Linked DNA regions of Sus scrofa. The protein of the gene in region 1 interacts with the protein of each later gene in a pairwise test. Links are inferred from orthologs where the notes say so. Each region holds a gene or a part of one and is shown in the gene's direction. Other genes may lie near its edges. The genes, in order: ARRB1, GNMT and MAPK9.

Evidence for each region.
Region 2: the proteins of ARRB1 (region 1) and GNMT interact in binary tests that used the Homo sapiens proteins (3 or more experiments, as listed by UniProt). The link is inferred for Sus scrofa from reciprocal best matches to the Homo sapiens genes ARRB1 and GNMT.
Region 3: the proteins of ARRB1 (region 1) and MAPK9 interact in binary tests that used the Homo sapiens proteins (3 or more experiments, as listed by UniProt). The link is inferred for Sus scrofa from reciprocal best matches to the Homo sapiens genes ARRB1 and MAPK9.

The regions. Positions count from the first base shown.
Region 1 is NC_010451.4:9,547,333-9,551,591, reverse strand, and holds the start of ARRB1 (beta-arrestin-1), read left to right. Parts: upstream 1-1,393; 5' UTR 1,394-1,806; coding exon 1,807-1,862; intron 1,863-1,910; exon of another isoform or gene 1,911-2,127; coding exon of another isoform or gene 2,128-2,147; intron 2,148-4,259. UniProt on the Homo sapiens protein: Functions in regulating agonist-mediated G-protein coupled receptor (GPCR) signaling by mediating both receptor desensitization and resensitization processes.
Region 2 is NC_010449.5:38,037,116-38,041,211, forward strand, and holds the start of GNMT (glycine N-methyltransferase), read left to right. Parts: upstream 1-1,243; 5' UTR 1,244-1,286; coding exon 1,287-1,492; intron 1,493-2,460; coding exon 2,461-2,588; intron 2,589-2,736; exon of another isoform or gene 2,737-3,028; coding exon 3,029-3,145; exon of another isoform or gene 3,146-3,284; coding exon 3,285-3,427; intron 3,428-3,526; coding exon 3,527-3,648; intron 3,649-3,726; coding exon 3,727-3,898; 3' UTR 3,899-4,096. UniProt on the Homo sapiens protein: Catalyzes the methylation of glycine by using S-adenosylmethionine (AdoMet) to form N-methylglycine (sarcosine) with the concomitant production of S-adenosylhomocysteine (AdoHcy), a reaction regulated by the binding of 5-methyltetrahydrofolate.
Region 3 is NC_010444.4:78,393,866-78,397,482, forward strand, and holds part of MAPK9 (mitogen-activated protein kinase 9), read left to right. Parts: intron 1-491; coding exon 492-563; intron 564-2,023; coding exon of another isoform or gene 2,024-2,028; coding exon 2,029-2,171; 3' UTR 2,172-3,617. UniProt on the Homo sapiens protein: Serine/threonine-protein kinase involved in various processes such as cell proliferation, differentiation, migration, transformation and programmed cell death.

The DNA.
Region 1 (4,259 bases):
GAGGATTGACGGCTCACAGAAAAGCAGCAGAATCAGAAAATAGGATTCAACAGGCTGTACAGTCCCTAATAGAGCACGTTTGTTTTAGGCACGTTCTCTGAAATAGTGGATTGGGACCATTTAAAAATTTGCAGCCTGACAAATTTTCAGTTCACCTGAAACAGAGTTTGACTAAATAATGCTGACTTTTTTTGTATCAGCCCGCAGAAGCTGGTCTCCTGCAGTGACAAACAAACCCCAGATCCTAGTGCTTTAAGAACTTACTTCCTCTCTCAGGCTGCCCCATCTCCCGATCATCCAGCCGGAGAGCATCTCTGGGCTTTAAGTCTCTGGAGGCCCCCCCATCCAGATCACTGCTGGTTTCAGGGAAAGAGGAAAGGGGGTGTGGTAGGAGGAAGAATGCTTCCTCCTCCCCAGCAACATCTACATCCTAATTCTTGGAACCTTTGAAACTCTCGTATCACATGGCAGAGGGGAATTACATTGCAGATAGAATTAAGGTTGCTAAAATCAGTTGATCTTAAAATAGAGAGCTGTAGGTACTCATATGGGTCTTTAAAAGTGGAAGAAGGAGGCAAGAGGAGGTCAGAGCAGTCCCATGTGATAAGAACCACTTCTTTGTTTGTTTTTAATATTTTTAGGGCCGCACCTGTGGCATATGGAGGTTCCCAGACTAGGGGTCCAATCAGAGCTACAGCTGCCAGCCTACACTACAGGCACAGCAATGCCAGATCTGAGCCTCGTCTGTGACCTACACCACAGCTCACGGCAATGCCGGGTCTTTAACCCACTGAGTGAGGCCAGGGGTCGAACCTGCGTCCTCATGCATGCTAGTCAGATTTGTTTCCGCTGAGCCCCGACAGACACGCCAAGAACCCAACTTCTCATTGCTGGCTTTGAAGATGGAGGAAGAGACCTGGAGACATGGAATGTGGGTGGAAAGGGCACAGAACCAGATTTCCCCCTGGAGCCTCCAGACAGGAATGTAGGAATGCCCACATCTTGATTTTAACCTAGTGAGGTACATTTTGAACGTACTGAGAGAGTAATTTAAGCTGGTTTAAGCCACTAAGTTGTGATCTTTGTTACAGCCTCTGTAGAAAACTCATAGAAATGGCATGGGATATCACGCAGCCCTGAATTGCTTCTGCCCGGAAGTGGCATATGGCGGGTCTGCTCATATTTCCTTGGCCAGAGCAAGCTGCATAGGCATGTCTAAGTTCATAGGACTAGAAAAACTTGATGCATCCATCTGCCCAGCCTTCGAGGGGAGTGGAATGTTGGTAAATATAATATCTACTATATCCTTGCTAGCTGCTCCTTATGCTTATGTCTTCTGCTCTCTTCCACTAAAAAACAGCGCCACCACCAAAGAGCTGATGGCAAGTCTATAGGTTGATTTCATTGTCAACTAATGGGTCGTGGCCCCTGGTTTGAAAAACACTGCTGAACAGACCCTCCTCTGCCCAGGCCTCATGGACCCCATGACACACCCTGGGCATAGCTGATTGGCCCAGGCATGGGACACCTGACCGGAGCTGACCAATCCCGTTCCTCTCCTGGGAATTTGGAATTGGGCCATTCAACCAGTTAACAGTGGGAAGCTGAGCAGAGGCAGAATAGAAACAGGGTCGGAGTGAGAACCACACGCAAGCCCAAACGATGGAGGAGCAGAAAAGCCCTGAGTAAGCAGAGAGAGTTGGTCCACAGAGGCAATGGAGCAGCCACACCGAGAGCAGTGCAGCCTGGAGAACATGCAGCCCCAGGGGGAGAGGTGGAGAGAGAGAGCGGCCGCCTAAGAGGCTGATGGCTTCCCTGTTCCTGGCTCCAGCCCCCGTGCGTCCTGGCTACATATCCTTCCCGTGAGATTTTTGCCTCCTTATCATACCCCCTCCTTCTTTTCTTGATGGGTTTCTGTTCCTTGTCTCCAGTGAGTCTTAATCAGCTAGAACTCTACCAGTATTTCTTGTATGGGGCCCGGCTTTGGCTTGAGGATCAGGCTTGGAGGGCACAGATGGGACTCGGGGGTGAAGCAAACCCAGCCATCCCACGGTCTAGAAATTTGGCTCTGACCTCAGTCTTGCATGATTGTGCCTGCTCTTCAGCGGGGACTGGCAGAAGCTGTCTATGAATGAGGTGTCGCACAGGTAGGGGTCCCGGTGAACTGGATGCACCCTTACAGGAGCCTTCTTCTGACAGCCCTGGGGTCAGGAAGCCACTGGAGTTGTTTTGGGGATGGTGTGGCTGTGGGACAGAGTGGAAAGGATGTGAGCTCGGGAGAAGGCAGCCACAGTTCACCTCTTTGAGCCTCAGTTTTCTCATCTCTGAAATGGGATTGTTGAAGCATCAACCCCAGTGCTGGAAAAACACTTAGAGACCTGACAAGGGCGTACAAGGCTGGAGGGCACGGGCAGCTGCTGCTGCTGCTGTTCGAGGAAGCCGCCAGCCAGCGACCAGCTTCCTGCGGAGGTGGCCCCGGGGGCTGATTGACTTGGCAGAGGTCCGTCCCCACCCCTGGGCCGGCTGTGCCTCCTGCCTCTCCTCACCCTCACGCTCCTTCTCACCCCTTAATCACCCTTTCTTCCTCCTTTCCTCCCGCCTCCTGCCCTCACTTGCCCTCTTTTCTGTTATTCTTGATGTTGATAAAAACACCTGCTTTGGGAAAGCGCAGCAGGGTTGGATGTAAAAGCCCAGCCTCTGGAGGCAGACAGACAGAACTGGGTCTGAATCCTGACTTATTAGCCCCTTGGTTGCTGTGTATTCCTGGGCAAATCACCACATCTCTCTGAATGTCAAGTTCACTGTCTATAAAGTGAGGGTTCTAATGCCCATTTCACAGTGCTGTGATGAGAAAGAACTCACTGGGCACTCAACCAATGCTAGTTCTAGTTCCTTCTTTTTTAAAATGTTAGTTCCTTCTTCTCTTTTTCCCTCCCCGACTGTCACTCCTCTCAGCTGGCCTCCGGCTGCCTCCCGTGGTCAGGGTCCCCCTAGTCCCTCTCAGAGGTCCCTGGAATAGCTTCTCCTGACTCAGTTACTTGTGGCCTTGGGCTTTTGTGGCCTCTCTTTCCCTCAGACCCGAGGCTCCAGAGAGGTAGGCAGGCTTCTGGAAGCCTCAGAGGCCCTGTGGTCTGTTCCTTCTCTGGTCTCCTCTGCAGGTCCAGCCTTAGCTTGGGAGCTGCTGGTTCGAGTCATATGATCTGTAATTTTTTTCTCAGTTTAGCAATTATTATACCCCAGCTGACTGTGGCATCTTTACACTCCAAACACGGATAAATATTTATGAGGAGGAGACAAGCCCAGAACTCCTCAGAGAGTTGGGGGTGGGGTGAGGAAGGTGATAAGTCCCTGTTTGCCAGCCAAGCTCAGACCCATCAGTGGTCCCTGGGGCCCCCAAATTAAGGGGTGGGGGTGATGGGGGGGCTATGGAGGCAGCACAGGACCAGCACCCCTGTCCCCTCTGGGGAGACCAGCTGTCAATGTGACACTGTGGGCCTCACCCTGCCTTGTTGTGCTGGATGCTGCTGGGCCTCCTGCTCCTCCAGGTTTTGAGCTGCCTGGATCCTCTCAGCACACGTGAGCTCTGTCGCTCTGTGTCTGCCCATCTCTTTCTGTTTGTAACACTTTCTCTCTCCCTCTCTTTTTGGTTTATTATTTATTTATTTATTTATTTTTGTCTTTTAGGGCCACACCCGTGGCATATGGAGTTCCCAGGCTAGGGGTTGAATCAGAGCTGCAGCCCCTCCGGCCTACGCCACAGCCACAGCAACGCAGGATCTGAGCTGCGTCTGCGACCTACACCACAGCTCACGGCAATGCCGGATCCTTAACCCACTGAGCGAGGCCAGGGTTCGAACCTGTGTCCATGTGGATGCTGGTCAGGTTCGTTAACCACTGAGCCATGATGGGAACTCCTCTTTTTGGTTTGTTTAATCATCACTCATTCCATCTTTCATGACCCCTCCAGGGCAGTGTCCCTCCCCGCTCCCTCCCTCCTCCAACACTGTCTCTTGTTTCTGGGGCTCTGTCTCTCCCTTTCTTCTGTCTCCCAGCACTGCTCTGAGCAGTTCCGGGCTGGATGTTGGGGAATAGGTGAGGGGCCTCAGGCTCCAGGGGACCTCAGCTTGCTCCAGAAGGCAGAGGGAGCACTTCGCGGGAGTCAGGGACCACACACGCCTCTGCCTGGTTCCGCAGCCGGTGCTCCGCTCTGCGGCCACGGGCACGTCCCCTCCCATCCTGGCCTCGATTTCTCTGCTGTT
Region 2 (4,096 bases), on another chromosome or scaffold:
AATGATGACCTATCTTTGGGGTTTCCCCAGCTCCAGGATTCTATTGATGGTAAAAGGGGCAGCGGATGGGAGGTTCCTTTGTTCTAAATTCCATACCTCGGCACTTTCTGAAGCCAAAAGATAGGTGAGGAAGGCTGTTCTTGCTGTCTTGGGCTTCCCTGGGTGGCACCACCTTCCTGAATCTCAGTCCAGGGTCTTGTCCAGGAAGAGACCTGTTTTGGGGAGGAGGGTGGCTGACACTAACCAAACCAAATGACCAATTTATGAGGTGATAATGAGCGATATAAGAGCAAGAGCAAGCACTTCCACCCCTCACTCTGGACTGCCCAGTCTGTGGGCACCTCTGTGGAAAGCAGCCATTAGTGGGGTGCTTGGTTAGAGAGGAACTGGAATCAGACTCCATCTCAAGTGGCTCAGGGAAAAGCTTGATGCATCAGCTACAGGACAGAGGAGCACCTGCCCCCAGATGGGTGGGATGACCCCTTGGGCCAGAACTGCTCCTAGACTTGGATGGCCAAGCCAGCATCATCCCCAGATACTCCCATCCCTCCCTTCGCTGGCTGACCAGGCCCTCTTTGGGCGGGGCAGCCCTTCTTTATATATGCTAATAACCCCCACCCTACCTCCCCACCTCCCCCCCCAGTAGGGACGGTTTTGCCCTGGGCACTCATTGTGGACTGTGAAGTTTCTTTCCAGCTCCCGCTTCTGTTTTTTGTTTTTGTTTTTGTTTTTGTCTTTTTGCTATTTCTTGGGCCGCTCCCGCGGCTTATGGAGGTTCCCAGGCTAGGGGTCGAATCAGAGCTGTAGCCACAGGCCTACGCCAGAGCCACAGCCACGCGGGATCCAAGCCGTGTCTGCAACCTACACCACAGCTCACGGCAACGCCGGATCTTCAACCCACTGAGCAAGGGCAGGGACCTAACCCGCAACCTCATGGTTCCTAGTCGGATTCATTAACCACTGCGCCACGACGGGAACTCCCCAGCTCCCCCTTCTGACCCCTCCTAGGTTCCCCTGGGACCTGGCTTAAGTGGGCAGGGGTTGGGAAGGTCCTTTTGCGCCGAGGGATCATCCACAGGGCAGGATCCTCAGGCAGGCGGGAAGGGCTGGTCTAGGATTGCCAGGCAGCGCCCTCCCAGCGTGCCTACCCGGGCAGCCGCGGCTGCGGGCCCAGGGCCCAGCAGGGGCGTGTCCCCGCTCTCACCTCCCATTGGGCAGGTGGGGCCGCCGGCAGGGGCGTATTATAAATGCAGAGCGGGTGGCTGCGGAGCCAGGCGCCTCGCAGGATGGTGGACAGCGTGTACCGGACCCGCTCCCTGGGGGTGGCGGCTGAAGGGCTCCCGGACCAGTACGCGGACGGAGAGGCGGCGCGCGTGTGGCAGCTGTACATCGGAGACACCCGCAGCCGCACGGCTGAGTACAAGGCTTGGCTGCTCGGACTGCTGCGACAGCACGGCTGCCAGCGAGTCCTCGACGTGGCCTGTGGTACCGGGTGAGCCCGGACGGAAGCCAGGGACCTGGGATGAGCAGGCATCCGGGGGCCAGGGGGAAAGAGGAGCCGGGAGGACACAGGCGACGGGGGACGGGGTCTGCTCCGGCCGGGGTCGCCCGACCGCAGTACCACAGCGGGGCACGTCGGGCAGCCTCCTCCGCCGCTGCCGACCTAGAGCCAGGCAGGGGCGCGACGCCAGGGGCCAGGAATGAGTGTTTACCCAGGCAGAACGAGGAGCAGGGCGAGGCCGACGGCAGGAGGGGGCCGAGGAGACCCAGGGTGAGAGCGAGGGTGTGGGCACTGTGGGTGGAGAAGGCGATCTCGCTGGGGCGGCGCAAGGACCCAGGCTTTGGGGCTTGGAACCCGGCTCCAGGGTCATTCCAGGGTCATTCCCCGGTATGATGGCCTCCGGCAGCGTTAACAGTTAACGCTTGTTTAACATGTGCCCCTGCCAAAGCACTGTACCAGGTGCTTTTGATACATGAGGTTTTAAAATCCTCACAAAACCCCATGAGGTGGGTAGTGATAGCTGTTTACCGTTGTAGGAATTTGGCCTCAGAGAGATAAAGGTGGAGAGGAGATGCAAACCCAGATGGGTTAGGGTCTGGCCTGTGCTCTAAACCCCCATGTTACACTGCCTCCTGTGCTCAAGTTACTTAACATCCAGAAGCCTCAGCTTGCCCCATCTCTCGAATGGGGATAAGACCATCTACCTTACCGGACTGCAATGAGGATTCATGTGCATTTGTAGAATGCCTGACTTGGAATAGGTGCTAAAACACAAAAAGGGTGCTACCTGATGATGAGAATCAGATATGCCAGGTCACTGAGGTCAGTGGAGAGAGCCTGGGGACAGGCAGAAAAATGGACTCTGAGGACCTGAGGAGACAGAAGTGTCCGGCACAGGGCCTCCTCCTTGCCTTCCCTGACCACCCCTCTCTGCCTGTTGGGATTCTGGTCCTGCCCAGGGTGGACTCCATCATGCTAGTGGAAGAAGGCTTCAGTGTGACAAGTGTGGATGCCAGTGACAAGATGCTCAAGTATGCACTTAAAGAGCGCTGGAACCGGCGGCATGAGCCTGCTTTCGACAAGTGGGGTAGGCAGCTCCAGCCAGGTCCCCTCGGCCCAGCCACCAAGGACACTGTTCTCTCTGCTCTGGCTCCTTTAGCTCCTGTGGTGGGGGGTTTTGTTTTCCTCAAGGGGGACAGTAAAATCCCTAAAAAGGGAGGCTTAGGCACAAGAACGAGGTATTGACTATGCTAGTTTTAATTACCTTTATAGTATCTTATCCTTCTCCCCCAAAAGAAACCCATAAGCACAGGGCCCTCCTTCCCCACCACAGCTTCCTATTCCCCTGACCCCTCTTCTCCTTCACCCTCCATGTCCATGATGATCCCCTCCCTCGGGATCCCCTCCCCTGGGGAGGCCCTGTGTGTATCTAGAAGGGGAAAGAGAGGCAAGACTGCACTTGGTGGACACGGGTGCTGCTTGTACTGTGGTACCAGCCTGTTCCCTCTTCCCTTTCCTGGCCCCCAGTCATTGAAGAAGCCAACTGGATGACTCTAGACAAAGATGTGCCCAAGTCACCAATGGGTGGCTTCGATGCTGTCATCTGCCTTGGAAACAGTTTTGCCCACTTGCCAGACTGCAGAGGTGAGAGGGTGTGGCCTTGGGCGTAGACCCTGCTTTGAACCATACCCTTTCCAGACGCAGGGGGAAGGAGAAAGATGGGAGGGAGACTGGTGCCCGGGCCCTGAGCAGACGCAGCCTCTCTACCCTTCCTGGAGTTCAGGGGACCAGAGTGAGCACCGGCTGGCCCTGAAAAACATCACAAGCATGGTGCGGTCAGGGGGCTTGCTGGTCATTGATCATCGAAACTACGACCACATCCTCAGCACAGGCTGTGCACCCCCAGGAAAGAACATCTACTATAAGGTGGGGCCCCTGAGGGAGGGAGGGCCCAGAGTGGGAGGTGGGCTCTCTGGGCCCCACCAGAGTTGCAGAAGCTAACACAGCTGGCACTCCCACCTGCAGAGTGACCTGATCAAGGACATCACGACATCTGTGCTGACAGTGAACAACAAGGCTCACATGGTGACCCTCGATTACACGGTGCAGGTGCCGGGGACTGGCCACAGAGGTTCTCCTGGCTTGAGGTACACTGGCGAGGCAGGGGCTTGGGCAGGGGGCGCTGACACACCAGTCCTGATGGTTGGTCGGGGGCTCTGTTGCAGTAAGTTCCGGCTCTCCTACTACCCTCACTGTCTGGCATCCTTTACGGAGCTGCTACAAACAGCCTTCGGGGGCAAGTGCCAGCACAGTGTCCTAGGAGATTTCAAGCCTTACAAGCCGGGCCAGGCCTACATTCCCTGCTATTTCATCCACGTGCTCAGGAAGACGGACTGAGTGAGGCCTCAGCTCCCACTGCCCTCTGCCCAGGCGCTGCCAGGCTCCGTCTGTGGAGGAGGGGACCAGAAGCCCCACACGGAGCCCAACCCCCAGTGCAGATCCGGGGGTGTGGGAAGGGGTGGGCTGCAGCTGGGGGCAGGGATTCGGGTTCAAACAGATGGAAAGGAAAACAATATAGTCTATGCTTTTTTCAGG
Region 3 (3,617 bases), on another chromosome or scaffold:
TGCTAATGACCCAAGCAGGATGTCAACCTTCAGTTGGAATACTCCCGGATATTTTTGCCACCGGCTTCCACATCCCAGGAAAGAGCCACAGCCGTCCTTGAAGGGGTTACGTTTGGAGAACCACAAGTAATGATGGAGAAAAACATGTGCAGACAGGTGTGAGAACATCTGATACTCTAAACTGTCCTGTTTGAGCCACTTTGCTCATACTTTCCCTCCCTCTCTTTTCTCCCCTGTCCCCAGCCCCCACGCTTGCTTCTCTTTGTAAACCCCCCTTGTGGATCCAGAACCACCCTACATTTTGGCTTAACAGTTGGTTGAAAAGATGTAATGGATCAAATATCAATGTTTTAGTCTAGGTAAACTATATTACTAAATTACTTGTCTAATACATCGCGGTGCCCTTGGAGTGGTTCTGTGTGATTTGGAAGCAGGATTTAGAGATGCAAGGAAACTGGTGAAGCTGTTTTAACTTGCATTTCTATTTTAAGAGCTAATTTACAAAGAAGTAATGGATTGGGAAGAAAGAAACAAGAATGGTGTTGTAAAAGATCAACCTTCAGGTTAGTGATTGCTTTAATAGTTTGATTGTATATTATTTTTCTTTCCCTATTTAGTTTTTATAAGAAGCAGTGTGTTAAGTGCCAGCTTGACCAATATTGGGTTTGAAAATTTTTTCTGTGAAATAGTCTTCCCCTTTTTGGTTTGTCCCAGTGATGGCAGTGAATATTTTACTGATGGGCCAGGCAGTGAACTGTGTTAAGAACATGCTTGTTCATCTTTGTAACACTGTTGTCAGTTTTGTTTATAAGGAAATTGAATTTAAACCCTCTTTGGAGGGTGGGGGCATGCCCATGACATGTGGAAGTTCCCAGGCCAAGGATCAAACCCACACCACAGCAGCAGCCTGAGCCGCTTCAGTGACAACACCAGATCCTTAACCCATTGCACCACAAGGGAGCTTCTTAAAGCTTTTTCAATGTGTATGACCCTCTTTGTACTGGTCCTAACCAGTTAAAAAGAATATCAACGTGAATCTAGATAAAATGGAATTTACTTTTCTTTCGAGAAGATCGTTCATATAATTCTCCCATCTTTCTACTTGATCTACTTAGTGGTAGAATTCTAACCGTTAGATAATTGTGTGATTACTAGAGACATAATATATGTGGTGTTAACTTGTGTCTTGTAGAGTTTGACCTTAAACAAAACTCTTTATATTTATTTTATTATTCCACTCCTACCGGGAAATGTGCGCACACATAGACACACATAAATACAAATTGCACTTCTTATTCATGACATGTGTGTCGAGTGTCTAGAGAGTATATGAATATAATGTGAATTTAGGTGCTTTTTGTTAACAAAGCACAAATTTAAGACTGACCTCTGAGAGTCTGGATGTTTTATTTTTGCTAAAACCAGACTAAAATATAGATAGTAAGAAATGGGATGGTTTCATTTGCCTTTGGGAATTTAAAAAGCAAAAATAAAATGAACAGTGTTCTTTATAATTTTTTTCCTTTTTTTGTTTGTATGCAGTTCTTATTTTGGAAGGTATTTTTATTGTAAAAGAATTCTGCAAAGGTTGATACTTTTTTCCTTGGACTGTTTATGATTATAATTGAAATGTCTGATGACACTTGAATCCTATTTGGGATTAAACTTTTTGAGATTTTTTTTTTAGTTTTAGGATAAATTCAGCAGTTTTTTAAAAAATATCTTTTTAAAACCAGCAGATATTTTCTAAGCAGTTAACATGATTATACACAAGTACATATATGATGACTAGCCATTGGGAAGAAAAGAAATGTTGCAAGGGAAGACAGGAATATTTGGGATTTTGAGCCTAAAGAAAGACTCCAGGAAAGGTTCAAAATGTACAGTCAACTAATTTCTTGTTTATACTAATAGTTAGTACAGGAAGCTACAAAAGGAAAAAGCTGAGAAATGGCCTGAAGTCTCACTGCCTGGATTTGCAACAATGTCGTGCCTCAGATTTTATTATATTTGGTTTTCTTAGCACAGATGCAGCAGTAAGTAGCAACGCCACTCCTTCTCAGTCGTCATCTATCAATGACATTTCATCCATGTCCACTGAGCAGACCCTGGCCTCAGACACAGACAGCAGTCTGGATGCCTCAACGGGACCCCTTGAAGGTTGTCGATGATAAGTTAGAAATAGCAAGCTTGTCATCAGTGAAGGAACTCTTGCTTCCGTGGGCCTGAAATGCCTGGGAGTTGATGGAACCAAATAGAAAAACTCCATGTTCTGCATGTAAGAAACACGATGCCTTGCCCCTACTCAGTTGTACTAGGCTTGCCTTGCTTAGATTATAAAATGAAGCAGATTATGTCTGAAGAAAAAAAAAAGTGCAAACCACACTTCTAGAGATTTTGTTCAAGGTCATTTCAGGTGAGCAATTAGAATAGATTTTTTTTTTAAGTTGTATGGTAATAGTAGTGACAATTTCTCATCTTCAGTAATTGTTGGGACTTATATGCATGTGACCGCAAATGCCTGCTTGGACTTGCCCTCTAGCACTTTGAAAAACAGTATTTAAAAGCCAAATAATCTTCTAGGTAGTGCTGCTTCTAGAATTGTCTCTTAATCCTTTTAAGTAATTTGGTGTCTGTCCAGAAAAAATAGATTTATGTATATTAATTGGCTGCCATCATATTATTGTATCTTACCTTCCTTTAGGGTATGAGTTATTTTCTTTCATATTTCAGAAGGAATATAAGTAAATCTGTTAAATAAATTAAAAAATATAACTTTTCCTAAATTTGTCACATTTGGGCTGAGAATTACCACTGCTAAAACCAGGACACTTTGTTTTCTCTAAATTGTCTTAGTCTGGGTGACTGTACATTCAGCTTTACTGCATGATAAAGTTTTAAGTTTTGTTTTGTGCTGCTTAAAATATCATATACCTTTAATTCCTATGTACCCTATCTCTTTTTTCTTTGTCTTCTGAACTTCATATTTAATTTAAAATGCTATACTAGAACTTCGCCTTCTTTATTAGTCACCTAACACCCCATCTCAATATGATGGCATACACATTCTTGAACCCATCAACTGCTGGTAGAGAAAAATTTTACGAAGTGATCACTAAAGATGATTGCAGCCACTTACTAAGTGCATGCTTTGCCTGAGCCTGGACTGGGTCCTCTCTTACCTTCCATCGCTCAAGGTAAGATCCGTGATTTCACAAGGCAGAGTTTCCCTCTTCCAACACCGCATGCTTACTCGATTTTCTTTCTTTTCTGAAAGAAACCACACAAATCCCCCTTTGGTCTGTTTGAGGAAGCACGCCAATTCAGAATGCCTGTTTGTGGTTGTTTTCCACTTTATGGCGGCATTTCCTTTTCCTAAGGGAAATCCATGAATGTTCTGGGAAAACCCATCTGAAGGATATGGAGGAAATGCCCTAAAGAGTAATGATTAACTATTGAATATTTTCTGACTTAAAACTGCTCACCTGAAATTGATACTTTCAGACTTTCAATATGGAAACTATTCAAAACTCACTGAAATACTGAGTATTGAAGTGTCATTGCAGAAATGGAGTTACGATGGTCACATTTTGGCTACCTGTGCTCATAATGCTTTT